Linked DNA regions of Rattus norvegicus. The protein of the gene in region 1 purifies or fractionates together with the protein of each later gene. This does not show direct contact. Links are inferred from orthologs where the notes say so. Each region holds a gene or a part of one and is shown in the gene's direction. Other genes may lie near its edges. The genes, in order: Rela, Kpna3, Prmt5, Cul2, Sp1, Map3k8 and Btrc.

The links.
Region 2: the proteins of Rela (region 1) and Kpna3 purify together in Homo sapiens (affinity purification with mass spectrometry; 4 studies listed by BioGRID and IntAct, with this or other methods). This does not show direct contact. The link is inferred for Rattus norvegicus from reciprocal best matches to the Homo sapiens genes RELA and KPNA3.
Region 3: the proteins of Rela (region 1) and Prmt5 purify together in Homo sapiens (affinity purification with western blotting; 3 studies listed by BioGRID). This does not show direct contact. The link is inferred for Rattus norvegicus from reciprocal best matches to the Homo sapiens genes RELA and PRMT5.
Region 4: the proteins of Rela (region 1) and Cul2 purify together in Homo sapiens (affinity purification with western blotting; 3 studies listed by BioGRID and IntAct, with this or other methods). This does not show direct contact. The link is inferred for Rattus norvegicus from reciprocal best matches to the Homo sapiens genes RELA and CUL2.
Region 5: the proteins of Rela (region 1) and Sp1 purify together in Homo sapiens (affinity purification with western blotting; 7 studies listed by BioGRID and IntAct, with this or other methods). This does not show direct contact. The link is inferred for Rattus norvegicus from reciprocal best matches to the Homo sapiens genes RELA and SP1.
Region 6: the proteins of Rela (region 1) and Map3k8 purify together in Homo sapiens (affinity purification with mass spectrometry; 5 studies listed by BioGRID and IntAct, with this or other methods). This does not show direct contact. The link is inferred for Rattus norvegicus from reciprocal best matches to the Homo sapiens genes RELA and MAP3K8.
Region 7: the proteins of Rela (region 1) and Btrc purify together in Homo sapiens (affinity purification with mass spectrometry; 3 studies listed by BioGRID and IntAct, counting the BioPlex papers as one, with this or other methods). This does not show direct contact. The link is inferred for Rattus norvegicus from reciprocal best matches to the Homo sapiens genes RELA and BTRC.

Annotation. Positions count from the first base shown.
Region 1 is NC_086019.1:212,353,120-212,357,211, forward strand, and holds the start of Rela (transcription factor p65), read left to right. Parts: upstream 1-1,216; 5' UTR 1,217-1,277; coding exon 1,278-1,284; intron 1,285-1,870; coding exon 1,871-1,897; intron 1,898-1,988; coding exon 1,989-2,140; intron 2,141-2,295; coding exon 2,296-2,444; intron 2,445-3,316; coding exon 3,317-3,408; intron 3,409-3,734; coding exon 3,735-3,866; intron 3,867-4,092. UniProt on the Homo sapiens protein: NF-kappa-B is a pleiotropic transcription factor present in almost all cell types and is the endpoint of a series of signal transduction events that are initiated by a vast array of stimuli related to many biological processes such as inflammation, immunity, differentiation, cell growth, tumorigenesis and apoptosis.
Region 2 is NC_086033.1:39,783,288-39,787,566, reverse strand, and holds the start of Kpna3 (importin subunit alpha-4), read left to right. Parts: upstream 1-1,439; 5' UTR 1,440-1,446; coding exon 1,447-1,515; intron 1,516-1,522; exon of another isoform or gene 1,523-1,978; coding exon of another isoform or gene 1,979-2,101; intron 2,102-4,279. UniProt on the Homo sapiens protein: Functions in nuclear protein import as an adapter protein for nuclear receptor KPNB1. Binds specifically and directly to substrates containing either a simple or bipartite NLS motif.
Region 3 is NC_086033.1:31,938,306-31,941,894, reverse strand, and holds the end of Prmt5 (protein arginine N-methyltransferase 5), read left to right. Parts: intron 1-188; coding exon 189-298; intron 299-530; coding exon 531-624; intron 625-771; coding exon 772-888; intron 889-1,150; coding exon 1,151-1,215; intron 1,216-2,207; coding exon 2,208-2,360; 3' UTR 2,361-2,968; downstream 2,969-3,589. UniProt on the Homo sapiens protein: Arginine methyltransferase that can both catalyze the formation of omega-N monomethylarginine (MMA) and symmetrical dimethylarginine (sDMA), with a preference for the formation of MMA.
Region 4 is NC_086035.1:58,870,631-58,874,276, reverse strand, and holds part of Cul2 (cullin-2), read left to right. Parts: intron 1-426; coding exon 427-486; intron 487-1,124; coding exon 1,125-1,340; intron 1,341-1,640; coding exon 1,641-1,793; intron 1,794-2,046; coding exon 2,047-2,124; intron 2,125-3,646.
Region 5 is NC_086025.1:135,418,754-135,422,976, forward strand, and holds the start of Sp1 (transcription factor Sp1), read left to right. Parts: upstream 1-1,296; 5' UTR 1,297-1,334; coding exon 1,335-1,341; intron 1,342-1,485; exon of another isoform or gene 1,486-2,342; intron 2,343-2,683; coding exon 2,684-2,841; intron 2,842-3,122; coding exon 3,123-4,223. UniProt on the Homo sapiens protein: Transcription factor that can activate or repress transcription in response to physiological and pathological stimuli.
Region 6 is NC_086035.1:58,088,097-58,091,742, forward strand, and holds part of Map3k8 (mitogen-activated protein kinase kinase kinase 8), read left to right. Parts: intron 1-25; coding exon 26-193; intron 194-212; exon of another isoform or gene 213-1,079; intron 1,080-1,325; coding exon 1,326-1,587; intron 1,588-2,456; coding exon 2,457-2,563; intron 2,564-3,646.
Region 7 is NC_086019.1:254,157,799-254,162,244, forward strand, and holds the start of Btrc (F-box/WD repeat-containing protein 1A), read left to right. Parts: upstream 1-1,565; 5' UTR 1,566-1,658; coding exon 1,659-1,706; intron 1,707-1,740; exon of another isoform or gene 1,741-1,961; intron 1,962-2,014; exon of another isoform or gene 2,015-2,094; intron 2,095-3,704; exon of another isoform or gene 3,705-4,446. UniProt on the Homo sapiens protein: Substrate recognition component of a SCF (SKP1-CUL1-F-box protein) E3 ubiquitin-protein ligase complex which mediates the ubiquitination and subsequent proteasomal degradation of target proteins. Recognizes and binds to phosphorylated target proteins.

The DNA of each region.
Region 1 (4,092 bases):
ATCAATGATGGCTGTGTGCCATTAATCGGAGACCATAATTCATTCTGTCACCTTGATGTCCGCCCCCGCAAAACATTAAACTGCTTTTTCTAATCTGCGCCAAGTGAGAAACTGAAATGAGTGGGAGGGGCGGTAACTATTTTCACTTTTGTCTTCCTGTTTTTTTCAGAGCCTGGGAAAGAAGTCAGAATTTCCAATCTTTTCCAATTCCCACATGATTTCCTAATTTAGAGAAAATAAGTCTTTCTCCATGTGCTAAAGCCTCCTCTGCCCCCCACCCCGCCTCCTCCTTCTGGCATTGTGGAGGGAGCCTGATGTGTTGATTCCTCCAGCCAGTGTCCCCAGACTCAATCTGCACACCCGCCCTTGGCTTAGATGGCAATTTTCTCTCCCTACAAAAGCTTTCATCACTGGAGCTCAGGCTCCTGGGAGGCCTTCAAGGAGATGCTCAAGTGGTGTGACCCTGGCTAGCTCCGGAGATCCCTAGGGATCTGAACCTTAGCAGACAGGACCTATCTGTGGAGGCGAAGCCCTGGAGCTCTTCCAGCATTCATTGCTCTCAGGGACTCTTAGAGGTACAGGTGTCTACCTCGGTCCCCTCTACACCAAGGCCTCAGTCAAGCCTTGATGAAGCATGCTTTGGGAAGCACTCCTGCGCGCAGCCGGATCTAGGTTGGGAGCATATGGCCTGTAACGCGCGGCGGTCCCCAGAAGGCCCTGCACGAGTAGGAAAACGTGTGGAATTCAGTCACTGTGCTCCGCGGAAGCAGCAGGCCTGAGCCTCTCCTTGTGCAGGGCGAATGGCCGCAGCCTGCCAGCAGCCCGGGCTCTGCTCCAGACCAGGCCAGGGTGACATCACCAAACTCTTGAGATCAGAGCGGGGCGGGGAACGGGACCCGAAATCCCCTAAAAACAGAGTGAGTAATCGCGGGCCCGCCCTCCAGGCGGGGCCCGGACACGGAGCGAACCGCGCTGCGTAGTCCGGGAGCGGCTTGCAGTCGGGCGGGCCTCAGGACGAATAGCCTCGGCGTCCTACCGCCGCGCTCCGGTGTCCCCGCCCGCGCGCCGCACACCTTCCGCGCCCAGCGTGAGTTGCGCACCTGCTCTCGGCCCCCACGCGCGTCGGTGGCGGCGGCGCAGCGCGCAGGCGCGGCCGGATTCCGGGCAGTGACGCGACGACGGGCGCGCGCCGCGCATTTCCGCCTCTGGCGAATGGCTTCGCTTTAGCGCGCCGTGGGCTCAGCTGCGACCCCGGCCCCGCCCCCGGGACCCTGGCCATGGACGGTGAGGCTGCCCTCTGGCCCGCGGGACGGCTGCCCTAGAGTTCCGGGACCTGCGGCGGGATCCCCCTCGCGCCGTCTTCCGCCCCTTTCTGCGCCGCGGGTTGCTGCGCAGGGAGCGGCAGGCCGGATGGTGGCACGGGGCGGGGCGGGCTGCGAGGGGTCTGACTCAGTTGCCCCTCTCAGTGGAGGGCGCCTTGACTCAATGTCCCTCCTGGGTGGGAGTACGGGTGAATCTTGACTCAGTTTCCTCCGGCTTCCCCCCCCCACCCACTGTGTCGATGCGATTAGTTCTGGCTTCCTTTCCGTGTAAGGGAGAAAGTATCTGACTCAGTATCCCCCGAAAAGGAGAGGGGGTAGAACCCTTCCTCAGTGTCACTTATGAACGTAAAACAGGCTCTGACTCAGTTTCCCCGGGCAAAGGAATACCTCTGTGCCCCTTTTCTCTAGTAGAGAGATGCTTTTGCCTTCTTTACCTGGCCTCTTTCAGGGCAGGTCTTAGGATCTTGGCTCAGTTTCCTTTGGAGGCATTCCCTGGTGAGGGTGGGTACTGGAGTTTATTGACAGTGTGCCTTGTCTTTCCCTTTCAGATCTGTTTCCCCTCATCTTTCCCTCAGGTAAGTGGACCATCCTTCCTCAGTAGGTAGGGGCTGTCCTGGAGTAGGGGCCATGGGGGCAGCACCTAATGGCTGACCGTATCACCCACAGAGCCAGCCCAGGCTTCTGGGCCATATGTGGAGATCATTGAGCAGCCCAAGCAGCGGGGCATGCGTTTCCGTTACAAGTGCGAGGGCCGCTCTGCAGGCAGTATTCCTGGGGAGAGAAGCACAGATACCACTAAGACGCACCCCACCATCAAGGTAAGCAAGAGCCCCCAGGGGTGTCGGGGTGGGGACACAGATGTGGTGGAAGGCACTGTGGAGCCCCAGCAGACTTGCCTCCTTGCCACCGCGCCCCGTGTCTAGGAGCCAGATTTGGGATTGCTGGCCTCTAAAGTACTCTGTACTTTGGACAGATCAATGGCTACACGGGACCAGGAACAGTTCGAATCTCCCTGGTCACCAAAGACCCACCTCACCGGCCTCATCCACATGAACTTGTGGGGAAGGACTGCCGGGATGGCTTCTATGAGGCTGAACTCTGCCCAGACCGATGCATCCACAGGTGAGTCTGAATAGATAGGCTGGGGGTAGTGTGAGGTCAGGGTAGGTAGGGGGCAGGGTAAGAGCAGGCTGGGCCAGGCAGCTGTTACAAAGTTACACTTTTCTAAACACTGGCAGAATCCAGAGTCCTTGCTCTGTCCCCAGGTCTGCAAACAGACCCCCTTTGTCTTAAATTCGCTAACAGATGGGAACTCTTTATCTTGGAGCGACAGATCCTTTATGACTGGATAGCCCAGTCCCTTAGGCTCTTGTATCAGAAAGTCCGTAATGGACTCTCCTAGAGCTTAAATACCAGTTGGTAAAACCAGGGGACAGTTGTACAAACAGATAGAAAAGATACTAGTGGAGAATTATAATTTCCATGATGAAAAGAAAACACAGTAATAAATTAGAAGGAGGAGGAGGCTGGTCTCGTGGCATAGGGACAGAGTCTCATATAGCTGAAGCTGGCCTTGCACTCATGAGGGTTCACCTACCTCCTCTTCTCAACTCCAAGGGTAATAGGCGCGTAGCACCATGTCCTGTTACGTAGGTCTCATGACTTTGGGTTGGAAGATTGCAGAAGGCCTCTGTGCTAACACTCAAATGGTGAGAAAAAGCAGACAAGCCCAAAAGAACATTGCATGCACAAGAAAGAAGTATGGTGACCTGGAAAAGGGACTAAGTTTAGTGTGCTCAGGGACGGGACAGGAAGGCCCTGTGGCTGAGGCTAGGACACTGACTTGGGGGCTGGTGTGGGCCAGGTCCCTCAGAGACTCGCCAGTGGGTAAGGAGTGGGTTCATTGTAGCACAGTGGGAAGCCTTGAGCTGTGAGCTGAGGAGTGGGAAGAGGGTGTTCTTTTGGAGACACAGAACTAATGCCTGAGGCCTCAGCTTCCAGAACCTGGGGATCCAGTGTGTGAAGAAGCGAGACCTGGAGCAAGCCATTAGCCAGCGCATCCAGACCAACAATAACCCCTTTCAAGGTAGGAGCAAGGGGCAGGACATAGCCTGCCTGTGGTGCACATTCTGCCACCTTCCCTGGGCCTCTGGCGCTCCTCACCCTCCATGACCAACCCAACAGTACAAGTGGAACCTCGCTGCCAGCATGGTACACACTCACATGCTACCGTTGAGAGTCAGGCCTAGAAAGGGGTGGTGTATTCAGGTCCCAGTAGAGCCGTGATGGGTCTAGGATTTTGTCTTCCTCCCCTTAGACTTCTGTTTTATATATCCTCAAATCACCTTCCTCTTCCCTCAGAGCTCCCTGCCCTCCCCATGCCTTCCACCACTTTTTTTTTTTTTTTGACAGTTCCCATAGAGGAGCAGCGCGGGGACTATGACTTGAATGCGGTCCGCCTCTGCTTCCAGGTGACAGTGCGGGACCCATCAGGCAGGCCCCTCCGCCTGACCCCTGTCCTCTCGCATCCGATTTTTGATAACCGTAAGTGGCCAGCTGCAGTAAGGGGAGAGGGTGGGCTTGGGAAGAGAATGGGGCTGGGGTGGGTGTGGCCTTGCTGCAGGGGGCAGGGCAGAGAAGACCCAGAGCTGCCTCTGTGGGAAGCTTGCAGGATGCCCTGGAGTTGGATGGGAAGTGACTGTTTTCCATATCTTGTGTTGAGATGCTGGTGTGCCAAGAACTGTGCTCATGACTTTAGGAAACCAGATAA
Region 2 (4,279 bases), on another chromosome or scaffold:
CGTTTGAATAGGGATGGCCCCTATAGACTCATGTGTTTGATTGCTTGGCCCATAGGGAGTGGCACTATTAGGAGGTATAGCTTTGTTGGAGGAAATATGAGGTGGACATTGGGTCTCCTATGCTCAAGTTAGGTCCCTTGTGGACACAGTCACCTTCTGCTGCCTGCAAATTGAGATGTGGAACTCTCAGCTCCTTCTCCAGCACCATGTCTGCGGGCATACCACCATACTTCCTGCCATGATGACAATGGACTCAACCTCTGAACTGTAAGCCAGCCCCAATGAAATATTTTCCTTTATAAGAGTTGCCATGATTATGGTGTCCCTTTACAGCAACAGAAACCCTAATTAAGACAATTCTGAAATGTAATACTCATATATAATCTAATAAGGTTATCTTGCTGTAAAAACAAAAACAAAACCAACCAACTAACCAACCAAAACCAACAAAAAAACTGTTATTGTTCCAACAGGAAGCTAAAGGGAGTTGACAATCTGGAGTCTGCAGACTTAGGTCCTGAAGGCTACATTGTGTTAGGTAGACTAAAGCATCAGGTCATAGAAAGGTAGGGCTGCCAAAGTGAAGGTTGCACAAGGATGCTTGGAGAAATCAGGGGATGCTAGAACACTTTTTTTTTAAAATCAGAATTTACTAGGTACTGTTTTGATCTGACAGATTTTTGAGACCAACAGTGTCTCTTTTCTCATTGAGTTTAATAGCGGGTGCAGGAAGCAATCATAAACACACACATCACACTCACATGTATTTGTGGAGTGGAAACAAGCGTGCTATTTATAAAACCGAAGCAAAGCAGAGAACAGGGTTTGAGGGTGGCTGCTATTTGAGGAGACCCTAAAGAAGCCAAAAGCGCAAAGCACGCGTGGCCGTTCTTTTTCTAATTTTCGAAGCTGTAGAAAGCAAGGTGCGCCCCCGGAGCTCCGCCTCTCTCTCCGGATAGGCTGCAAGGTGCCATCTCCAGAGTTGCCCCGCCCACCAGCCCGCCCAGAGGTGGGGCTTCGAGCCCGCGCTCAGAGAGCGCCTAGCCGAAAGCGCGCGCACAGCCCTCCCGGCATGCTTCTCGTCCTCTCACACCGTGGCTCAGACCCGCGCCTGGCAATCTGGGAATTGTAGTTTGCGCCCTCCGCCCCGCTTCAGGGGTGGCGGTAAAAGCTGCTAGGTCGGGCTCCATTTCTAGCACATGACTAGCTGCTGTGGGGAGGCCCGGCGAAGGGGTGAGGGTAGGGTCAACGCGACAGCCGGCAGGCCAGCGCCCCGGCCTTCTCCGGCGCGCGCCTTTCCTCAGCGCCGCCCCCGCGCCGCGGCCACCTCGCGCTCCAAGCGTCACGGAGCGCGCGCTCCTCCCCCTCCGTCCCCTCCCGCTCGACTCGCCGCCGCCGCCGCCGCCGCCGCCGCAGGAGCAGCCGCCTCCGGAGCCGCGCGCAGCCATGGCCGAGAACCCCGGCTTGGAGAACCACCGCATTAAGAGCTTCAAGAACAAGGGCCGCGATGTGGAGGCGAGTGTGCTCCGCGGCTGGCTGGGTAGGGCGGGGAGGGGCGGGGGCCCGCGGCCGCTGGCTCTCGCCGGCTGGCGGTCAGTCGGAGTTGGCCGCCGCCTCGGGGCGCCGCGGCCCGGGCAGCAGCCGCCCTCTGAGCGGCTAGCGCGGCACCTGGGACCGCTGAGCGCTCGGCCCCGCTGCGCGGGCGCGGCCTGGCGTCGGAGGGGAAGGGATGTGGAGCCGAGGCGGGGTCCGCGGGCCGCGCGGGAGGACGGACCGGGATGCTGCCGCCCCGCGTGCCGACCGCACCGCCGGGGCCGGGCCGCCGCTCGTGTCCGCAGCCGGTGCAGCCTCCCGCGCTGCCGCACATGGAGCCTGGGTCCCCGCGCTTACCTTGTGCGAGCCGGGCCCAGGCGGGCGGTGGCAGCCCTCAGAGGGGGGTGGGGACCAGCCGGGTAACTGACTTGTTTGAGGGTGGTGGATGGGGGAGGGTAGGATGCGCCAAGACCATTTTCTTATATTCCAGTGCTGTCCTTTGGACCAGTCTTCCCGAGCTGTTGCAGCTCATACCCCTGTGACTGCTGGCATTTGGAGCGAGCTAAAGGTGGACAATAGTTTACCGTCTATTGTGTTGAAGCTTTGGGAAGGAGGTTGTGCAGACCTCTGATCTTGGGATTTTTTTTTTTTCTAAAGCACGTTTTGGAGTGGAAGTGTGAATAATAGGAAAATAATTTCTTTGACCTGTTTTGCAGAAATAAATTGGATACATAGATTCCTACGTCCTTGTGTATACCACATGCCACCAAGCTAGTAGATTTTCCAAGTGGTTGCAAAACTGTAAACATTCATTGTGGTCACTCAGTTTGCTGCTACTCAGCATGTTGCCATTGTCTCATTAAGGTGACATTAGCAGCTACTATTTGCAAACTCTGCTTATTGAGGTAGCGCTAGAGGTCTCTCTGCTCCTACTAAAACCAATGAAGTGTAATAGCACAAACTTCACTGGGACCCAACCTCTGGATTTGATGGGGGAAATAGTTTTGAGCCCATATCCTCTTCTCTATTCTAATAGTAGGTAATATGATTTGTATAGTCTAGTAGTCTTTGGTAAGAGGCTAGTTAGTAAATACAGGGTTTGGTTTGGTTGAGAAGCAGACGAACCTGGACCATTTTTCAGAGCTACAAAATTAATTATGAACTGGAAAGAACCTGGGGGAATATCTGTGGAATTCCCATTTGAGTGAGACTATAGGTTTTCTATCTCTGCCCTGATCACATTTAAGTTTCTTTATGAGAATTCCAAACAAAAGTGAAACCTAGCAAATGGAACATCCATCAGTCTGTTTTTTTGGTAAGAGTGTGTGTGTGTGTGTGTGTGTGTGTGTGTGTGTGTGTGTATGTATGTGTATGTGTATGTGTATGTGTATGTGGCGTGTGTGTGGTCTCTCTTGCTTTTCATTTGTTTTGTTTTTGAGACAAGGCTTTAACTACAGGGCAGGCTGGTTAAGCAGAGAGAATAATCCTGCCTCAGTCTCCCACGTGCTGGGATTACAGGTGTGGGCCACCACACTTTGTCCCACCAGTAATTGTTCTTGAGGTTGTCTCTTATTACTGTAAGCAAAACCTGAATAGTTTACGTGGATACTCTATTGCTTGTACATTCTTTCCTTTTCTGGATGTTGGTGTAAGTTTTTGTCATGATTCGTTTGAGTTCTGTGTCCTGTTTGTTAAATGATAACTAGTGAGGACTTCTGCATGTAATAGATCCACAGCAACTACTTGCTGCTTACTAGAAGGTGACAAGTGGCTTGTGGATACATGAAAAGGACAGTTGCCATTTTGTCGGGTTTTGTTTACAACATTTCATGTCCAAGCCTATGTCAGTATAACTAGGACATGAAATAGGCATTCAAATGGTAGTTCTTTGTGGCAGACACAAAGAACTATACATTGGTGTGCTATACCAAGAACATTTAATCCTCACCACTTAGAAGTGGTGCATTCCTTTACTAGAGAAGAAGAATTCTTTTTTTTTTTTTTTTTTTTTTTTTTGGTTCTTTTTTTCCGGAGCTGGGGACCGAACCGAGGGCCTTGCGCTTCCTAGGCAAGCGCTCTACCACTGAGCTAAATCCCCAACCCCAAGAAGAATTCTTCGATATAGAATTGCACGTTTCTGTAGCGTGCTGGTAACATCTGAGAGCATTCATTTGCTAAGTGACTATTGGGTGACTAGTGCAAACAAAGATGGCGTCCGAGTGATCTCTGACAGATAAATGGGAATGAGCTGATCCTGAAGAGTCAAAGAAAAGCTTGGTGCGCCCTCAGTAATCTCAGCACTTGTTGGGATAGCGGCAAGTTAGGAGTTCAAGGTCATCCTGAACCGGCGGGCACCCTACCTCAAAAAATAAGCAAATGAATGAAATGAAAAGGTGATAACTGGGGAAGGGGAAGGGCAGGGTCGAAGAAGGGGATAGGCTTTTGTGATTTGAAGATTACTAATTTCCGAAGTTCCTAGAACTGCAATGGGACTGCTTTGCTAAGGGGTTCTGGGGAGTGGGTGGATGCTAGAAATGTAGTGGAAGGGTAATCTAGGGTCTGGTCTAATTTAGGGTCTTTATTGTGGTTTTAAACAGAACTAAGAGGAGATGCCAGCCATATTAAATTTATTTTTCCCATTAAAAGCTGTGCTGCATTTGAGTCATACTATGAGTTAGCACTATAATTAAGTAGTTGCGATTATTAGGGTGTTTGCTATTGTTTCTTTACAAATAGTGTAGACAGA
Region 3 (3,589 bases), on another chromosome or scaffold:
TTGGGGTGTTTTTTTACCTTTACTTACGGCTCTAACATCCTAAGAGTAGAATTCCGATGATCCAACATCCTGTCCTCCAGCCGTGTTCCTAGCAGCCTTGGCTTGTTCTGTTGTTTGAGCCTTCAGCTGGTGCAAAAAATGCCCTCTCCCCTCCCTTTGGGAACTGATTTGACCCTGTTGTCCTGCAGATGATGGTGTAAGCATCCCCGGAGAATACACCTCCTTCCTGGCTCCCATTTCTTCCTCGAAGTTGTACAACGAGGTCCGCGCCTGTCGGGAGAAGGACCGTGACCCTGAGGTAAAGAGCTGCTTTTCTAGGAGGAGGGACTATCCTTCAGTCTGCTCTCCTGTCTTCCTCTGAAGCCAGTGAAGAGGTGAGAGGAGCTGGGATTGAAGAACGAGGGTGAAGTAAAACGATGTTTTCGTTCTTTGATGCTGGAACTCCAGCTTTCTCTGGGAAGTGGTGCCTCCTGTCTGTCTGTCTGTCTGTCTTCTGTCTCCTGAAGTTGTTGCTTTCTCACCCTGGCCAGGCACAGTTTGAGATGCCTTATGTGGTTCGGCTGCACAACTTCCACCAGCTTTCTGCTCCTCAGCCCTGTTTTACCTTCAGCCATCCCAACCGAGGTAGGTTCATGCATGGCTGTTCTGACTGAGGGGGTGCGAGCTTCCCAAGTCTAGGTCTCAGGTCCTGCAGTCCTAGAGCCTATTCAGGTTTGCCAAGTCATTGAGGGGTTTTGGCCCCTTGTCATCCATCCATGTCCTTCCTGACAGATCCTATGATTGACAACAACCGCTACTGTACCTTGGAGTTTCCTGTGGAGGTGAACACGGTGCTTCATGGCTTTGCAGGCTACTTTGAAACTGTGCTTTACCGGGACATCACTCTGAGTGAGTGTCTGGGAGCTCATTAGAGCACTGGTGATTTCAGTTCTTGGGGGCTGCTTCACAGTGTTCTCTCCTCCATGGAGATTGCTAGCTGAACACTAGCTGAGGTTACTGTCAGCCCGGCACAGTAATTTCATGGGGAGTCCAGAGTCCAGGAATAGAGGTCTCTGATTCTTAGGATTTTTTATGACCACAGAAGAGACTTCTCAAGGTAAGGAAGAGGGACAGTGGTGACCTCAAGTCTTTCATTACTTTGTCTCCACAGGTATCCGCCCAGAGACCCACTCTCCTGGCATGTTCTCATGGTTCCCCATCTTCTTCCCCATCAAGGTAGGAGTCCCCTCTAAGATGGTTGGTTGAGGGATAACAGTGGTGTTCTGCTCCTGTCCCTCAGCTAGTTGGCTGTGACCCACATTCTGTTCTGTCACTTGCTCTGTGGTCTTGGTTGGGGTTACCCAAGTAAGCTCCCTGGACTCCCCACATCTCCAACCACTCTTGTCCAGTCTTTACCTGGAAGAGGGTTGACTTTTTACCACTTAATTTGAATTGGCCTTTCTGTCTAAGCCCCTCAGTGCCTTCCCACTGCCCTCAGGTGAGACCCTGGAACCATGTTGTAAGAGTTGGCTTGGTGGCTTTTTCTGCCTCCCAGGAGATGTCTCTAGCTTTTAGTCCCCTCTGTTTTGCCTGTGAGGTTCTTTGCTCATGCCTTCACCCTGCCAACTGACCAGGTTTCCTGGGATATCTGCAATCAGGCCATTTTCCTGACCTCCTAGAATAGGCTGTCTTCCTCCTAAGTGCTTTCGCGGCTCCCTGTACATGCTCATAGCACTCACTGTGTCCTTGCTCACTGTCCATATTTTGACAGAGTAGGGACGTCTTTTTTTTTTTTTTTAAAGATTTTATTTATTTCATGTATGTGAGCACACTGTAGCTGTCTTCAGACACACCAGAAGAGGGCATCAGATCCCACTGGATCCCAGATGGTTGTAAGCCACCATGTGGTTGCTGGGAATTGAACTCAGGACCTCTGGAAGAGCAGTCAGTGCTCTTAACCGCTGAGCCATCTCTCCAGCCCCGAGTAGGGACGTCTTATGAGGGTCAGAATATTTTACTATATTTGTCTTTGGTTTTGAGAAAGGGTTTGGGATTATATTCAAGCTGGCTTTGAATTCCTGACCCTCCTGCCTAGCCTCCTGAGTTTGAGGGTTATAGGTTTGTACCCCACACTTGGCTGTTGATTATCTAATCCCCGTCTATCCTCCCAACATTGTCAAGTATAGTTCCTCAGCTCAACCCCAGCCTCTGTGTCTTTCCTATTACAGCAGCCCATCACGGTGCATGAAGGCCAGAACATCTGTGTGCGTTTCTGGCGATGCAGCAATTCTAAGAAGGTGTGGTACGAGTGGGCGGTGACAGCGCCAGTCTGTTCTTCTATTCACAACCCTACTGGTCGCTCCTATACCATTGGCCTCTAGCCCTGCACACAGCGTCAGAGCCTTGGAAGCAGCTCTGAGTTCTCTTCCTGTAGCACAGAAGGTGCAGAACATCTACTGGTTCAGTTCATCTGTGAGACCCTCACCTGCCAGCGAGGAACGATTCAGTCTGCTTTTCTACCTATGTCATGGTGGCCAGGGGGTAGGCATTCCAGGACTGCCAAGCATGGTGGTGCATACTTTTTATCCCAGCACTCCAGAGGCAGAGGCAGGTGAATTTCTTTAAGTTCAAGGCTAGCCTGGTCTACCCAGCAAGTTTCAGGCCACCTAGGGGCTACATAGTGAGATCCTGTCTCCAAAAAAGAAAAAAAAAAAAAAAGAATTGCAGGACACAAGCCAGCAGCAGTTTTCAGAAGCCTCTGTCGAGGGCACGAGGACTCAGTAGCACTGGAGGAAGTGGCATCGGCGGGCGCTCACCCTCCAGAGCTTCCCAGGGGTCAGGAGAAAAGGCAGAGGCTTGTGGGAGAGCCCCAGGAGTGTGCATGAACACTTGCGGCCTTCCCCTGGCCTTACTCTGTTGTTGTTTGGATGCTTTGTGTCAGAAGGAAACACAAATAAAGAGAAGTTACGGCCTCTGCTGCTCTCCCCTGCTGCCGCCTGCCTGTTTCCTACACTTCACTTCAATCCCAGCACACCGAGGTCTGTGCTCTTGCCTTGCCTAAGACCCAAGGAGGTCAGAAGCTGGGGATGTTCAGTAGTAGAGCACGAAGTACTCAGTGGTGACCTGTGAGGTTCCCACTTGTGCTCATGTTGTGTTCCGTCCCCGTGTGTCAAGCCCTCCAGCCTCACCCGCCCCCGCCCCGGGACCTCTGGGCGTATGCTTTTCTCATGTGGTCCATTAGGTTCATTTGTCTATTTCTCTAGGAAAGAGACACCTTGGAGATATGAGAAGAGCTTCTAGCTTCTCCCTTCCTTAGATGGATTGCCAGTAAAATCACAGAGTAATTGTCCATTTTGCAGAAGAAAATTTGAAGTTGGTACAGTGAAATGTTGCACCTATCCTAACATCTCTGACAGCAGCAACTTTTTGGGGTAGTGCAGGGATTGGGCAGCTCAAGGGTCCAGGAGCTTTGGGAAACCTAAGGAAGTGAGGGTTGGCACCATCAGTTCTTTTTAGAACAGAATACCCAAGTACCCATGTCAGCTGAGAAGTTATCTCGGTTTACGTTTGCAATAGGGGACCATGTGGGGTCTGATGTGAACAGCAGTGT
Region 4 (3,646 bases), on another chromosome or scaffold:
GATGTTCACCTAATGGTGACCAACAAAAGCACAGAAAGAAGGAAAGGAAGCCCTCCCAGGGCACCACTTTCCCTTTTCATGCAGCCTTCAGAGTTGCTGGGCATAGCTCAACCTGCAGCACCCGTGCACAAACGAAGGTGTGACATCCGTGCTGGAAAGGGACAGGGTCATGGGGCTGGCTGTCCAGCTAGCGTACACCCTAGGTCCCACAACAGACTCTGAAACCCTTGAACAGTAGCTAAGGTAGACCTGGCCTTCATTTGTACACGAGTGTGTATACTCCTTTATGTGGACACTTACACATTACATACTGGACAGAGGAAGAGAAATAGCTAAACTGTGGTGTTAGATCCGACGGCTGATCCTCAGCCACCTGTGTGCTTTGCCTGCTTCTGGTAACTAACCCTGGGCTCTTCTCTTGTTTAGGCCCTTACGTCTGTTGTAAATTACAGAGAACCCAAGTCTGTTTGCAAAGCACCTGAACTGGTAAGTGGAGTTGCTTAAAGGTAACTGACTTTCATGCGCATGCGAAGTCAGTAAAGGGAAGTTACTAGAATGCCAAATTAATTTGCTTTGTGTATTCTTTTCAGAATATGAAATTTGTCTGCACACACACACACACACACACACACACACACACACACACGCATGCACGCATGTGTGTATGTGTATATATATATATACATATATGTGTGTGTGTATATGTATGTATGTATCTCCAAATTTATGTTCAGAATTAGACCATGTGCCCTTTTTTAGCCAAAGGAGAAAATATTTCATAAAGATGATGATCTTGTTAAAAAGGCATGTGTACTGTTCATTATAGCCACTAACTGCTGATTAGGCTTTTTTTTTCTTAGAACTAAGAAAAAGTGTTTTGTGTTTTTAAAACTTAGCTGATCATGCATGTTTTATATTCATAGTTTTCGAGTGTAACCTTAGGGTGTGACAGCTTACAGCAACTGTCACACTTTTGCCGTGCTTTTGTCCTGTTGCTGATGACTTCCCCGGCTTGTTTTCATGTTTATGCCCTTACATCTGTTCTAAGTGACATACTTAGGGTGCTTTGTGTAAGGGTCTGTCCGAAGGGGCCTTTCTAATTTTATTACCACTCTCTCTTTGAGCTTGCTAAGTACTGTGACAACTTGCTAAAGAAGTCAGCAAAGGGGATGACGGAGAATGAAGTAGAGGACAAGCTTACCAGCTTCATCACAGTTTTCAAGTACATCGATGACAAGGACGTCTTTCAGAAGTTCTATGCAAGAATGCTAGCAAAACGTCTAATTCACGGGCTGTCTATGTCTATGGATTCTGAAGAAGCCATGATCAATAAATTAAAGGTAACATAAATCTTTAGTGTCATAGAAATCATTGTACCGACAGCCAAATACGCTCACTATATGGAATGGCTGCATACCTCACAGTAGTGCGGTCGCTGTATACATAGAGCGGGGCTGCATACGTCGTCAGACATGAGCGCATTTGTGCACTGTGTGCAGTGTTAGTATGAGACTTACAATGATTTAGGATGATCTCAAAGTTCTGTATTAATAATAATAATTAACAAAAAAACCCCAAACAGTTCACCCCTGGCTGACCGTTTTCAGTTTATGTTATACGCTCTGCATCTTGTTTTCCAGCAAGCCTGTGGGTATGAGTTTACCAGCAAGCTGCATCGGATGTACACAGACATGAGTGTCAGCGCCGACCTCAACAACAAGTTCAACAATTTCATCAGAAACCAAGACACTGTGATCGATTTGGGGATTAGTTTCCAAATATATGTCCTTCAGGTATGACAGGACTTTCTTTTTCGATTTATGAACCATTTTGATAATGTGATATAAAAGGTTAGCAACTGATGCTTGCTCATGTTTGGTTAGCTGTTGAATTGAGGACCACACCTACAGACTTGGAATAAAATGGGTCCTGCTAGTGAGAGCCATAGCACTGTAGAATTCCAAGGAAGAACGGGTGTCCCAGCAGCTGACGCAGCTTTTGAGGTAGACATCTGTTGACCATTTTTATCTCACTGTTTCTTTCTAGGCTGGTGCGTGGCCTCTCACCCAGGCTCCGTCGTCCACATTTGCGATCCCCCAAGAGTTAGAGAAAAGTGTACAGATGGTAAGTGTGCAGGGAAGAGGACGGTAAACAAAGGCCTGGCAGTGACTCCTTGTGTATGTCTGTGTGTGGGTGGTGTGTGTATGTCTGTGTGTGGTGGTGTGTGTATGTCTGTGTGTGGGTGGTGTGTGTATGTGTGTGGGTGGTGTGTATGTGTGTGGGTGGTGTGTGTATGTCTGTGTGTGTGGGTGGTGTGTGTATGTGTGTGGGTGGTGTGTGTATGTCTGTGTGTGTGGGTGGTGTGTGTATGTCCGTGTGTGGGTGGTGTGTGTATGTCCGTGTGTGGGTGGTGTGTGTATGTCCGTGTGTGGGTGGTGTGTGTATGTCCGTGTGTGGGTGGTGTGTGTATGTCCGTGTGTGGGTGGTGTGTGTATGTCCGTGTGTGGGTGGTGTGTGTATGTCCGTGTGTGGGTGGTGTGTGTATGTCTGTGTGTGTGGGTGGTGTGTGTATGTCTGTGTGTGTGGGTGGTGTGTGTATGTCTGTGTGTGTGGGTGGTGTGTGTATGTCTGTGTGTGGGTGGTGTGTGTATGTCTGTGTGTGGGAGGTGTGTGCATGTCTGTGTGCGTGTGGTGTGTGTATGTCTGTGTGTGGGAGGTGTGTATTTCAGCTTGGGGTCTATCTGTGATACATAGTAACCCTACAAGCTCTTACTAAGCACCTGTCCTGTATAAGGTCTGACATTTTAGGAGAGCTTGGGGATAACAAGGTGGATGGCTCAGTGGGTGACGGCACTTGCTTGGTGAAGCCTGACAGGCTGGAGTCACTCTTCACAGCCTACGTGGTTGATGGAGAAAACTAGCTCCCACGAGTTGTCCTCTCATACTCACATGTGGCCCTAGCATGAAGAACACACCACCATTCCAAATACATACCTACACAAGTAAATAAATAGAAGAAAGAGAAAGCTTCAAAATCATTTTCCTTTTCCAGTTGAACTTTGAGGCCATGTTTAGGCTTCATTTAGTCCTGGTAATATTTCAGTTTTCCTGTAATTGAGGTAAGTGTTCTGTATAAGCTGAGACACCAAAACATAATATGGAAGCTGCATGTGGGACAGAAATCCTAGAAGACTGACCTGCTAACAGGTTGCCTGTGGGTCCACATAGGCCCATAAATGAATAAATACATAAGTATGTTTTTAAATTAAAAATAAAATGAAATAGTAAAGTGTGAGCTGGGGCTGTAGCTCATGGGGCTTTGGGCTCCACGCCAGCACAAATGTGTCTTAGGACTGTTGTCTTTTATATATTCAGTCCAGGCAAAGAACTTTTTAAATTCCTAAGTTTTGATAAAATATTTTTGATATTTAAAATATTTTGATAAAAGGTTTTTTTTTTCAAGATTTATCATGTATACAGCAGTCTCCCTACATGTATGCCTGCAGACCAGAAGAGGGCACCAGATCTCATTATATATGGTTATGAGCCACCATATGGTTGCTGGGGACTGAATCTCAGAAGTCAGATGAGATTGTGGGATCCCCCGGATCTGGGGTTGTGAGCAATTTCCTGTGGGTTCTGGGAG
Region 5 (4,223 bases), on another chromosome or scaffold:
CTAGGGCAAATTCTCTAACCTTTTTGATTGCAAAAGTAGGTTACCGTGCTTTCTACTAGGAGGGTAAATTGAGTATTTTGAGAGCTTGGCTTCACGAAGTTCTCCAGAGTGCGTCATTCTCAAAGCCGAGTGATGGGAGTGAACCCTGCCTGGCCCGTGGTTTAGCGTGTCTGGGGCAGCTTAAGAAAATGGCGTTTGCTAGAGCTTCCCAAAAGCCTTCAGCTCAGTGGACTTGGGTTTTCGTGTGCCGTCACCAAGCTGTCGTCCCGCCCGCCGCCACAGGGCTTCCACCCACGGCGAGGGGGAGCCGCCCGCCCATCCCGGCAGGGGTGACATTCGAGAGGTGCTGTGTAGGAGCGGTGAAGGGAAAACTCGAACGGTCCCGGGTGACGCGACACCCTCGCCCTCGCGCGTCTCAGCGCTGACACTTGTGGAACTGCAAGGCTCCGCTAAAGCGTACCACCTAACGAGGAAAAGAAGCCTCTTGAGGAGGGCCAACATGGCGACCAACTCCACTTGGCACAGCCCGGTTCCCTCCTCATGAGGGGCGGCCCTCTAACGACTATTGGCCAAAGCTAGAGGCGGTGCCAGGCTGCTTTCGCTGCCTCATTGGCCTGAGTATCTGAGGGGGAAGCCTGTTCTCCTCTCCCCATTCCAAGTTCCAGCCTTCACCTTCTACTCGGCGTTTAATTGGCTGTTCATTCACGTCAATATGAGCCCTGTTCCGGTTCTTTTCAGTTGTTGTCCAATCAGAACTTTCTTAACTGCCCGCCTGAATTCTGATTGGTTTAGAAAGCTTGATCCTGTCCTATTCCGGCCTATTTCTTACTCTTCTCCTAAACGGACTTTGCCCAGGCATGCCCAAGATTCTGGTTGGTCGTTGTCCTGTCTTTCTTACCTAATCTCCTCCTATCCCCACCGCTCACGGAGCCCGCCTGGTGGTTGACTGGTTTCTCTGCAAGTCCATCTTCTCATCCCGCCCATCACCACTTCCCGAGTCTCTAATTGGTTGTTAAAACTGAGAGGGCGGCCTTTCTGGGCGGAAACCAGGCACGCAACTTGGTCTTACACGCCTCAGAGAGAGAGCGAGTCTTGCCATTGGGTAGACTGCCCGCCTTTCCTCTGCAAGTCCCTCCTTTCACCCTCCTTCATTGGGAGGGGCAGCAGATAAGGGGCGGGGACTAGGCCGGGCTTGTGGCGCGCTGCTCCCTCCTCCTTACCCCCCCCTCCCTGTCCGGTCCGGGTTCGCTTGCCTCGTCAGCGTCCGCGTTTTTCCCGGCCCCCCCCAACCCCCCCGGACAGGACCCCCTTGAGCTCGCCCCTCAGCTGCCACCATGAGCGGTAAGGATGAGTCCACTCCAAGCCTAGGGGTGGGAGGGGAGTGAGGGGGCGCGCGCGAGGGCCGACCGGGCGGTCCCCGCTGTGAGGGGGGGCGGGCGGGAGGCGGCGGCGGCGGCCTTGGTCCCGCCCGGGGCGGAGGGAAGGGAGGGAGAAGGGGCAGTGGCGGGGCCTCGGAGGAGGAGGGGGATGGGCTACCCGCCCCGGGGGAGGGGGCAGCCTGGCCTCGCCCGCCCCCTGCCCGCCCCGGCCACGGGGGACGGGCCTTACCCCCCACTACCCGGCCGGCCGCCTGAGGCTCCTCCTGTCGGGGGCTGGCGCCGCGGGGGCGGCCCGACCAGTGCAGGCCCCGCCTGGGCCAACCGCCTCCCCGGTCCGCCCTCCGGTCCCAGCCTGCTCCAGGCCCTCCCCCGCACCCCCGTAAATTTCCCTTCCCCCATCCGACCCGCCCTTGCCACGCCCCTAACCCCGAAACCGCCCCTTCCTTCTATGGCCCGGCCCCTCAGCCCCAAACCTGGGTTCTAAGCCCTAAACCATTTTAGCCTCTTACCTGCCCTCTTCAGATGTTTCCTCACCTCCACTTACAATTTACCCTTTCTCGGCCCCTTCCTGTTTTTGTTTACACTTAATCTGTCTCCATCTCTTTTAGTCCTAATTTTAGCCCACTTTCCATCCACCTATGTGTTGGGTCTCCTTTTCCTTCCAGGATGCTTTTTTGTTTTTCTTTTTGAGATAGGGTCTATGTGGTACTCGTAGTAACTCGAAGTTACTATGCAGACCTCAAACTTTTAGCTACCTAGTTGCCTGCCTCTTCCTCCTGAGTGCTGGGATTAGAGTGTGCCATCACTAGGCCCCACTTTTTTTTTTTTTTTTTTTTTAATTTCTGAGACACTGCTCTCAAATTCCCTCAAAAGTGCTGTTTGCATTGAGATCAGTTCTTACTCTGTAGGTCTGGCAGACCTAGAACCACCTGGCTCATCCTTCCAAGTCTTGGGATTATAGGTGTGAGTCACCATGCCTGGCTTCCAAAGCAATTTTTGAGTCATTTCTGGGGTTAATTTATGCCTGGGAAAATAGTGACCTGTCTTGGACACCATTAAGCCATGTGCCTGCTCTGCATGCCTATGGCTTTGGCATCTCAGTTTAATGTGTAACTGAGAATTTCTTTGAACTCTTGTCTCCACTTCCAAAATACTGGGATTTTAGGCCTACCACCATAACTAGCTGTATCTGACTAATACCTTTAAAAAAAAACATTTTATTAGTCATTGCTGGTGGTCAAAACGTTAATTTTAAATCTTAATGTTTTTCCCCCTCAACTTATTTGTTTTGTAATTATTTTTAGACCAAGATCACTCAATGGATGAAGTGACAGCTGTGAAGATTGAAAAAGGTGTTGGTGGCAATAACGGGGGTAGCGGGAACGGTGGTGGTGCCGCCTTTTCTCAGACTCGAAGCAGCAGCACAGGCAGTAGCAGCAGCAGTGGTGGCGGAGGAGGGCAGGTGAGTGATCAAAGATGGGGAAGGTATTGAAAGGGTATAAGTATTCTTAGAAACCTCCTTAACCAAAAACTCTGGGAGAAAGTACAGTAGGGAAGTACACACAGAAAGATAGGTGATCTAGAGGGTCCCCAAATAGGAAAGTTGGAACAGTACACAGAAGTTAGCATTTTGTTTCTGGTTTTTGCTCTTTATATGCCTGCATTGTTGCTGTTTGTCTGTTGAATACTGCCCCCTAGGCCAGCTATTGGGTGCCACTAACTCCTTTCCTCTCTTCTGGCCAGGAATCCCAGCCATCTCCTTTGGCTCTGCTGGCAGCAACCTGCAGCAGAATTGAGTCACCCAATGAGAACAGCAACAACTCCCAGGGTCCGAGTCAGTCAGGGGGCACAGGTGAACTTGACCTCACAGCCACACAACTTTCACAGGGTGCCAATGGCTGGCAGATCATCTCTTCCTCCTCTGGGGCTACCCCTACCTCAAAGGAACAGAGTGGCAACAGTACCAATGGCAGCAATGGCAGTGAGTCTTCCAAGAACCGCACAGTCTCTGGTGGGCAGTATGTTGTGGCTGCTACCCCCAACTTACAGAACCAGCAAGTTCTGACAGGTCTACCTGGAGTAATGCCTAATATTCAGTATCAAGTAATCCCACAGTTCCAGACTGTTGATGGGCAACAGCTGCAGTTTGCTGCCACTGGGGCCCAAGTGCAGCAGGATGGTTCTGGTCAAATACAGATCATACCAGGTGCAAATCAACAGATCATCACAAATAGAGGAAGTGGGGGCAACATTATTGCTGCTATGCCAAATCTACTCCAGCAAGCTGTCCCCCTCCAAGGCCTTGCTAATAATGTGCTCTCAGGACAGACTCAGTATGTGACCAATGTACCAGTGGCCCTGAATGGGAACATCACCTTGCTACCTGTCAACAGCGTTTCTGCAGCTACCCTGACTCCCAGCTCTCAGGCAGGCACGATCAGCAGCTCTGGATCCCAGGAGAGTGGCTCACAGCCTGTCACCTCAGGGACTGCCATCAGTTCTGCCAGCTTGGTGTCATCACAAGCCAGTTCCAGCTCCTTTTTCACCAATGCCAACAGCTATTCAACAACTACCACCACCAGCAACATGGGAATTATGAACTTTACCAGCAGCGGATCATCAGGGACTAGTTCTCAAGGCCAGACATCCCAGAGAGTTGGTGGGCTGCAAGGGTCTGATTCTCTAAACATCCAGCAGAACCAGACATCAGGAGGATCACTGCAAGGAAGTCAGCAAAAAGAGGGAGAGCAAAGTCAGCAGACACAGCAACAACAAATTCTTATTCAGCCTCAGCTAGTTCAAGGTGGACAAGCTCTTCAGGCCCTCCAAGCAGCACCATTGTCA
Region 6 (3,646 bases), on another chromosome or scaffold:
CCTCAGCACCTATATTTCCTGACAGGTAATCAGTCCCCAGAATGGTCGCTACCAAATCGACTCGGATGTTCTCCTTGTCCCGTGGAAGCTGACGTACAGGAGCATTGGTTCTGGTTTCGTTCCTCGGGGGGCCTTTGGAAAAGTGTACTTAGCACAAGACATGAAGACAAAGAAAAGAATGGCATGTAAACTGGTGCGTGCAGCCACACCGTGTCCCTGACTTCCTGGCTTAGGGTTATTTACCCTTACACTAGGTCTTACCTACGGTTCCTACCCCAAAGTGTCTGTCACTTCTGGAGTGGCTTGTGGCCCGGGACCATTCAGCTCCTACATCTCTACTTAGGTGTCTTGTAGCTTGCAATCTAATTAAAAGAACATTTTGGTGTGTATGGCAATGGCTTAGATAACACCATCTCCCTTAAGTGGGAGTAGCGGGAGCTTGCCCGAGATGGAAGATATTGGCTGCTGTCCTGTGGGGAGGGGTACATGGCAGGCAACAGAGACTAGGAAGACAGGGTGTTCCTCGGGACTACAGAGTTATAGGGCTGAATTCAATTGTACCAATTGCCAATATGACCCCATCTCTTGTTAAGCAATGACTGTTTAAAATTAATGCTTCAATACTTCAGCGCACTCCTGGGCAGGCTGACAGCTAAGAATGTACACATCTGGAGAGGCCCAGTAACTCACTGCCTAATGACAGCCAGCAGAGGTGTGTCCACTTGTGGGACTATTCTGGGCTGTTCGTTTGAGCACTGTTTGCCACGGTAGCATTCTGAGAGCTATGCAGGTGCTGACAAGTGAATGTTTATGGTCTGGAACACTTGATCACAAAGAGAATCTTCCTGATGGAGGCCTGAACTTTTGTGGGATATAGAGATGGGTGAGCGCTTATCTTCTAGGCTTGAGTCTGAATTGATCAAGGGACCAGTGACTTCTTCATATTATCACACAGTGAGGGGGAAGATTGGGAAACAGATTGTTCTAGGAACCATGGAAGTGAAGGGTGTCCATCATAGGAAATTCTTACCTCAGTCACCATTCTGGAACCTTGTTTGGATTCCTAAACTCTAAATAAAGTGAGTTTTTCCCTACTTTGTTTTTTAATGTTTGAAAAAGTTCATATCTAAGGATGACACGATATATGTAGAAGTGGGTCTGTGGTAAACATTTCTTGACACCACAGTGCCCTGTCGTACACATCAAAGTGTCCTTGTGTTATTTTGGCTTCTGGTTTTTGGCTTGAACTATATTGTCTGATATTCGTTGGTTTGTTTTATTGTCCTGAAGTTGTTTAGACCCTTGCCCCTGTTTTGTGTTGCTAGATCCCTGTAGATCAGTTTAAGCCATCAGATGTGGAAATCCAGGCCTGCTTCCGGCACGAGAACATTGCTGAGTTATACGGTGCGGTCCTATGGGGCGACACTGTCCATCTCTTCATGGAAGCTGGCGAGGGAGGGTCTGTCCTGGAGAAGCTGGAGAGCTGTGGGCCCATGAGAGAATTTGAAATTATCTGGGTGACAAAGCACGTTCTCAAGGGACTTGATTTTCTGCACTCCAAGAAAGTCATCCACCACGATATCAAACGTGAGTAGTGGTGTCTGCCTTGTTGCTGTTTCATGGGGCAAGTGAGATGCTTTGACCCGAACACACTCAGCAGCAGACACAGATTCCTTTTCTGTGCTCCTGAAGAGGCTCACAGAAGGAAGGCCGATTGCTAAGAACATTAGCAGTCAGAAGGGAGGCTGAGGACCAGAAACCGATACAGGGATTATGACCACGTGTCTCTTGGGTGCGTGCTGCCTCTGTCCTTGTATTGTGATTTAAAAACAGTGCAGAACTGAGGGTGCACCTTAGTGGTAGATCTCCTGCTTCCCCCATAGGAGGCCCTGGGTTTGATTCCCCCCCCACACAGAGAGAGAGAGAGAGAGAGAGAGAGAGAGAGAGAGAGAGAGAGAGAGATTATATAATGCAAGCACGTAGGCATATATTTTTGAGTTAATTTTCTCTTAATTTTGAGCCATAATTTGGCAATAATTCATTAAACATTCTCTTTAAAAAAAACCAAATTGTTAGAACTCGGATATAGTATAAAATAAAACAGAGAGACCCACTATAAATCTTTAATACTTAATGCTGAATTGGACATACACAGCTTTGGTCAGAAAAACATATTTATTTTTCTAACAACAGTAGCTTGTGTATGTCTTAGATTTCGAAGCCGAAGCCTTGAGCTTTCCTGATGGTTGTAGCTCCTATCCACCCACACTAGGTGGGTTCCTGGCAGGCCTCGGGTGGTTTCCGCTGACCTCCACCCTACTCGTCTCTTCTGGGTTGAAGGCAAATATCATTATCAGAAGCATTTCTTTCTGTTTTGACTGAACTTGCTTTTCTAGATGAGGTTTTCCTGTTGGGTTAGTTGCATTAACTCACATTAAAAACCCCTCTCATTGCAGCTAGCAACATTGTATTCATGTCTACGAAAGCTGTGTTGGTAGATTTTGGCCTGAGTGTTCAAATGACAGAAGATGTCTATCTCCCCAAGGACCTCCGGGGAACAGAGGTAACTAATTGTATTGGTGTGAAAATTGTTACTGTCTTGTTAAGAATAAAAGTGATGGTCTGGAAATTCTGTGGCAAACAGCAAGGAAGGGGAAAAAATGACAACATTGAATGATCTTTGTCACCAGAACAAACTCATTTTACTTTTTACCTTTTTCTATTTATATGACTTTAAATATGCATGGTTATATTTATAGACATTATTTATTACTATGTTTATTTATACAACACAAAGCACTTGCAGCCAATCCAGTGCCAAAATGGAGAACTAGTTGAGCGTTCCTAATCCAAAAGTCTAGAAAGCTAGGCAAGAGAGAGGTTGCTGAGTAAAGGCAACGCAAGCCTGAGGACCTGAGTTCAAATCCTGAGAACCCACACAAAGCCAAGTGTGATTGTCCCAGTGTGACTGTGGGTAGATCCAAGTAGACAGAAGTCTCCCCCAAGGCTCACAGGAGAGTAGCCTGGAATAGAGGGCTATGAAGAAGAGATCCTGGCTCAAGATAGAAAGTATCACATGTGCAGTGTTGTATATATTACATACACAGACAGACATGGTGAAAATGAAGCCCACAAATATACCGAATATTCCAAATATGAACTTCCAAATCTGAGATGTTTTGGTTCTAAGCTTCTCAGGTAAGGGGTACTCAGAATTTAAAACTATAAAATTGTTAGAGAACAATAGTGAACTTATAGTTTGCTTAGTACTTTAAATGAATCATTTCTTCCTTAGAATTATTCTGTATAAATACTGTTGCTAGAGCATTTAGGTGACTGCTGTTGTTCTATTTTATAAAAAGACAATGGAGAGATTGTGGCATGGTGCCTGATGTGACCCAAGTTACCAGCAGAGCCTAAAGCTTGAATTCTTGGAGAAGAAGGATTTAGTTTCTTATTTTCTAAGGATTCGGGCTCTAAATTATGGGTAACTTTTTAAACGGAACTACCACATTATTACATATCAAATTATGATAACTACTGCAACCCAGTATGTCTTCCCTGCCCTGGCTGTTAGCATTTACTGAGAACTAGCCACCAATGCCTGTCTGTCTTTCATCACAGGATAGCTTAATCCTGAAGTCCT
Region 7 (4,446 bases), about 42 Mb from region 1:
TGGGCCAGTCTGGAACTTGGCTATGCAGATCAGGTCGGCATTGAATTCTGCAGCACCACTGTGGGCTAATTGGTCTCCCTGTAACCTGTAGAGTAAGTGTATTTGCCTTCTGTCAGAGTTGGTCTAGTGAGATGGTTTAGTGGGTAAAGGCATTTGCCACCAAACCTAATTACTTAAGTTTGATCTCTGGGGCTTACACTGTGGAAGAAGGGTAATAACTTTTTTGTTTGAGACCCAGTTTCACTATGTAGCTCTGGATGTCCTGGAACTTCCAATGTAGACCTTGTAGACCTCGAACTCAGCAGCTTCCCCCTGATCTACGCAAGCCATGTGCACCTACACATACACAAAATAAATAAAAAAGTCAAAAACAAAAACAAAACAACCAACCTAGAACCAACCAACCAACCAACCAACCTCTGTTCCTGCCTATGATGTTTATAGAACATGGTGTCCATAATTAAAAATCTACTCCGGGTGAGGCACAGTAGTAGCTGTGGGTTATCATGTGGGTGCTGGAAACTGAACCCAGGTTCACTGCAAGAGTAGCAAGTGCTCTTAACCACTGAGCCCATACACCCATCTTTTTATATGGGTGCTAGAGACTTGAACTCAGGTCGTTGTCTTTTCACGGGAAGCACTCTTATCTACTGAGCCGTCTCTGCAGCCCCATCTTCTCTCTCTTTTCTTTAATTTTTTTTTTCAAGACAGGGTTTCTTAGTGTAGTTCTTGCTGCCCTGGAACTTGCTCTGTAGACCAGGCTAGCCACAAACTCACTAGATTACTTGCCTCTTCCTTTGCCTCCCAAGTGTTGGAACTAAAGGCATGTGATATCACACCCGGCCCATTTTGGGCTTTTATGGTCATAGACACTACTTTTAGGCTTGATGTAACACAGGACTTAGATCTCAGGGTTAGCAAAGTTAGTCATACATTCTGAGCACTAAACTCAAGGTTTCCTGGAGCGAGTTCTATCTGTCCCTGGCTAGCTCTGGGAGAGAAAAGGCTCTTCAGAAACGAGAGGTAATAATAGTTTAGGATGACTTCGTAATCTTGCATTGCTGTTGAGGCTGCTGTTACATGCACACTAGGCTCAGAGTCTCTAGGTCTCAATCTTTCCGCAGATGCCCTATGTATGAACTCGTTCTCTAAAATCACAATTAGGGAGGCCCAAGGACCCTGGGTTCTCTGTTTTCCCAGTATTTGGAATATAGAGGAAGCACTAGTCGCCATCTTGCTATCAAATGCCAGGCAAGCAACCACTGGCGTCGTTTGGTAACCACGGTGACATTCCGGCTTTGCCTTCTTAAAGGCTGGAAACTACGATTCCCGTCAGCCGACTTCCCCTCCGGGCTCTCGAGTGCGCTACATTTGGCTTGCACACAGCCGCGACTCTACGCAGTGACCCGTGGGAGTTGGGGTTCGCCGCGTGGCCTCGCCTTTTGCCGCTCGAGCCTCCAGAACTACACGTCCCGTGAGGCAGCGGAGTGCGCACGCGCAGAGCCTCGGTCCTCCTCGGAGGGGTACCCTGCCAGTGCCAGGAGGTAAAGAGAGGGCGGGGGAAGGAAGAGGAGGCGGGATCCGGGCGCTGCGTTGGCTGCGGCCTGGCACGAAAGGGGCGGCCCCGGCGGAGAGCAGACCCAGTAGCCCGGGCGATTATGGACCCGGCAGAGGCGGTGCTGCAGGAGAAAGCGCTCAAGTTTATGGTGAGGAGATGGTGTGGGCAGGGGACTAGTGGAGGCGGCAGCGTTGGCGCGTCGCTGAGCTTAGGCCTGGGTCACCCGCTCACCGCAGGAGGGGGCAGTGGGACTTGGGGCCAAGGCCGGTGGCGAGGCGGAGGGAGGGACTGGACCGGAGCTTGGGGGAGGGGGCAGGAGGGTGCAGAGGGGACCCTGAGGTGGGGGCAGCAGCTCCGCCATCTTGTGGAAGACAAGCCAAGTGACAGCGGGAGCTCATTCGAGGTGGGGGCTCCTGGCGGCGCGCGGGGCCCCCAGAGGGAAAGGGGCGTGGGGACAGTTACTGAAGAGCGGAGGAACCCGGGTGGAGAAACGCCTGTAGACGCTAGCAGGGCCCTTCCCGGTATCAGGGTAACGGGTAAGGCCTGGGAAAGGAGGTGCATTCAGGAGTAGGGAATAGTAGAGATAGGATAATGGCAGGGCAAGCACTGGGGGAAGGGGGAAACTGGGCAGGACTGTAAACTGATGGGTTTAACGGCGAAGGAGGGAAAGCCCAGGCTGGGGAGGCAAGTAGTTTTGTAGAATGAGCTGGGAAGATAGCCTTTGCCTAAGGGCTAAGGGTGGAATCCCAGTTGACCAAACTAATGTTGGCAAACTCTAGAAGAGGCCTCATTTAAGAAGATAAGGACTCAGACCTAGAGCTATGGTGACAGTTCCTGGGAGAGACAGTGTTGATTACCAGCTAGAATCACCCATATCAGGAAGGAGGTATGTGCTCTGTTTTGAAGAAGAGGGGCAGAATTATTTGTGATAAGGGCAAAGCGATGAAAGAAATGTAGTTACAGGTGAACGGGGACAAGATTCATAGCCAATAAGAGAAGGCAAAACAAGACTTGGGCCTTCAGTGGTGAGGTAGTAAAATGTGGAGGAAGCCAGGTGCTGTATCACTTTCTGTGAGAGGAAAGGCCTTGGAGAAATGTTAAAGAGATGTGAAGAAATTCTAGAGGACGGATGTAGGGAGTAGAGAAGGTGAGGTAAGTGAGGATTGGTGTTGCCCGTGAGTTTTAGGTTGAAGTACAGAGTGAGCCTTGCGTTTTTAGGGTGTGTGTAAACCCCTTAGGCCCTATTTCTTTAACTTTGTATGGTGGTTGTCCTTTGCTGTGCTTGTGTTTGGCAGCCTTGACTAGTCTGATATTTGATGCTTTTAATCTGATGCTTCCTTGTATATCCTAGGTGTAAACCAGTCTCTAGTTACATCTAAAGAATGTTGGGATGCATAGATTTATTAATTTATTTTTTTAACTGAACGGATGATCTTAGGAATATTGTATTATTTTCAATCAAGTCTTGTTTTTTTTTTTTCAGAAGTAATTGTAACCCATCATTTCAAATAGCATTCCTTTGTTGAATAGGTTCTTTTGTGTGTGTGTCTTTGCCTAAAATGCCATAACAAATTTGACGCCATAACAAACAGATACTAACTTAGTTAAAATTAGGTTTTAAATTGCCCCATTCATATTTATAGAAGCCGGTCAAATCTAACTTTTTATTTTGGGGACTGGAGAGATTACTCAGCAGTTAAGACCATTGCTCTCCTAGAGGATGAAGGTTTGATTCTCAACATCCACATGGCTACTCACAGAGGTCTGTAACTCCAGTCTCAAGGGATCCTCTACCCTATTCTGGACCCCCAGGGCACCAGGCGCACAAGTAGTGCACAGATATAGATGCAGACAAAACATCCATACCCATAAAATAAATAAATAGTGGCCGGAGAGATGGCTAATTGGTTAGGAACGCTGGCTGCTCTTCCAGAAGTCCTGAGTTCAGTTCCCAGCAACCACATGGTGGCTCACAACCATCCGTAATGGCATCCGATGCCCTCTTCTGGTGTGACTGAAGACAGCAACAGTGTACTCACATAGATACAATAAATAAATAAATCTTAAAAAATAAAATAAAAAATATATTAAAAAGGTAAAATTTTAATCGGGCTGTGATGGCGCACATCTTTAATCCCAGAATTTGGGAAGCAGAGGCAAGGCTGATTTCTGAGTTCAAGGCCAGCCTGGTCTACAGTATGAGTCCAGGACAGCAGAGCTACATAGAGAACCCCTGTCTCTAAAAAACAAACAACAAAAAATTACTTTGTATTAGTACCTTCAGAAACACAAGTTTGTCATTCACAAAATTCTACTGAGCCTAAAGACATTTCTTGAATTTCTGTCCTGCGTTGCCCTTCTAAAATATTAACAGACCCCAGGTTTGGGATTATACTTATTATCCAGTACTTGAGACTGAGGCAGGCTGGGCAAGGTGGCCTACACCTGGGCAGGTAGGCAGATCTCAGTTTGAGGCCAGCCTGGTCTACATAGTGAGTTCTAGGACAGCTGGAGGCACATATAAAGAACCTCTCTCAAAAATAGAAAAAAGAAGAAGAAGAGGAGGAAGAGGAAGATGACAAGAATGGGGACGACAAGGAGGAGGCAGGAGTATTGCCAGTGTGAAAGCCAGCTTGGGCTACTCATGGAATTAGATCCTGCTTCAAAAGACCATAAACAGACAAAACAAAACAAACAAGCTACGTGTGGTGGCGAATGTTTGTAATCCTAGCACTTGGGAGAGAGGCAGAAGGATCCGGAGTTCAGTCTGTTTACAAACAGGCAAATCAGCAGAGACCTTGAAATCCTGGGGGAGGGGATGGAAATCAGTCAAGGTTGCTTTTATCTCCCTCAACCAGTTTTGAGTTGTAATTCAGAAGAGAGCTGGG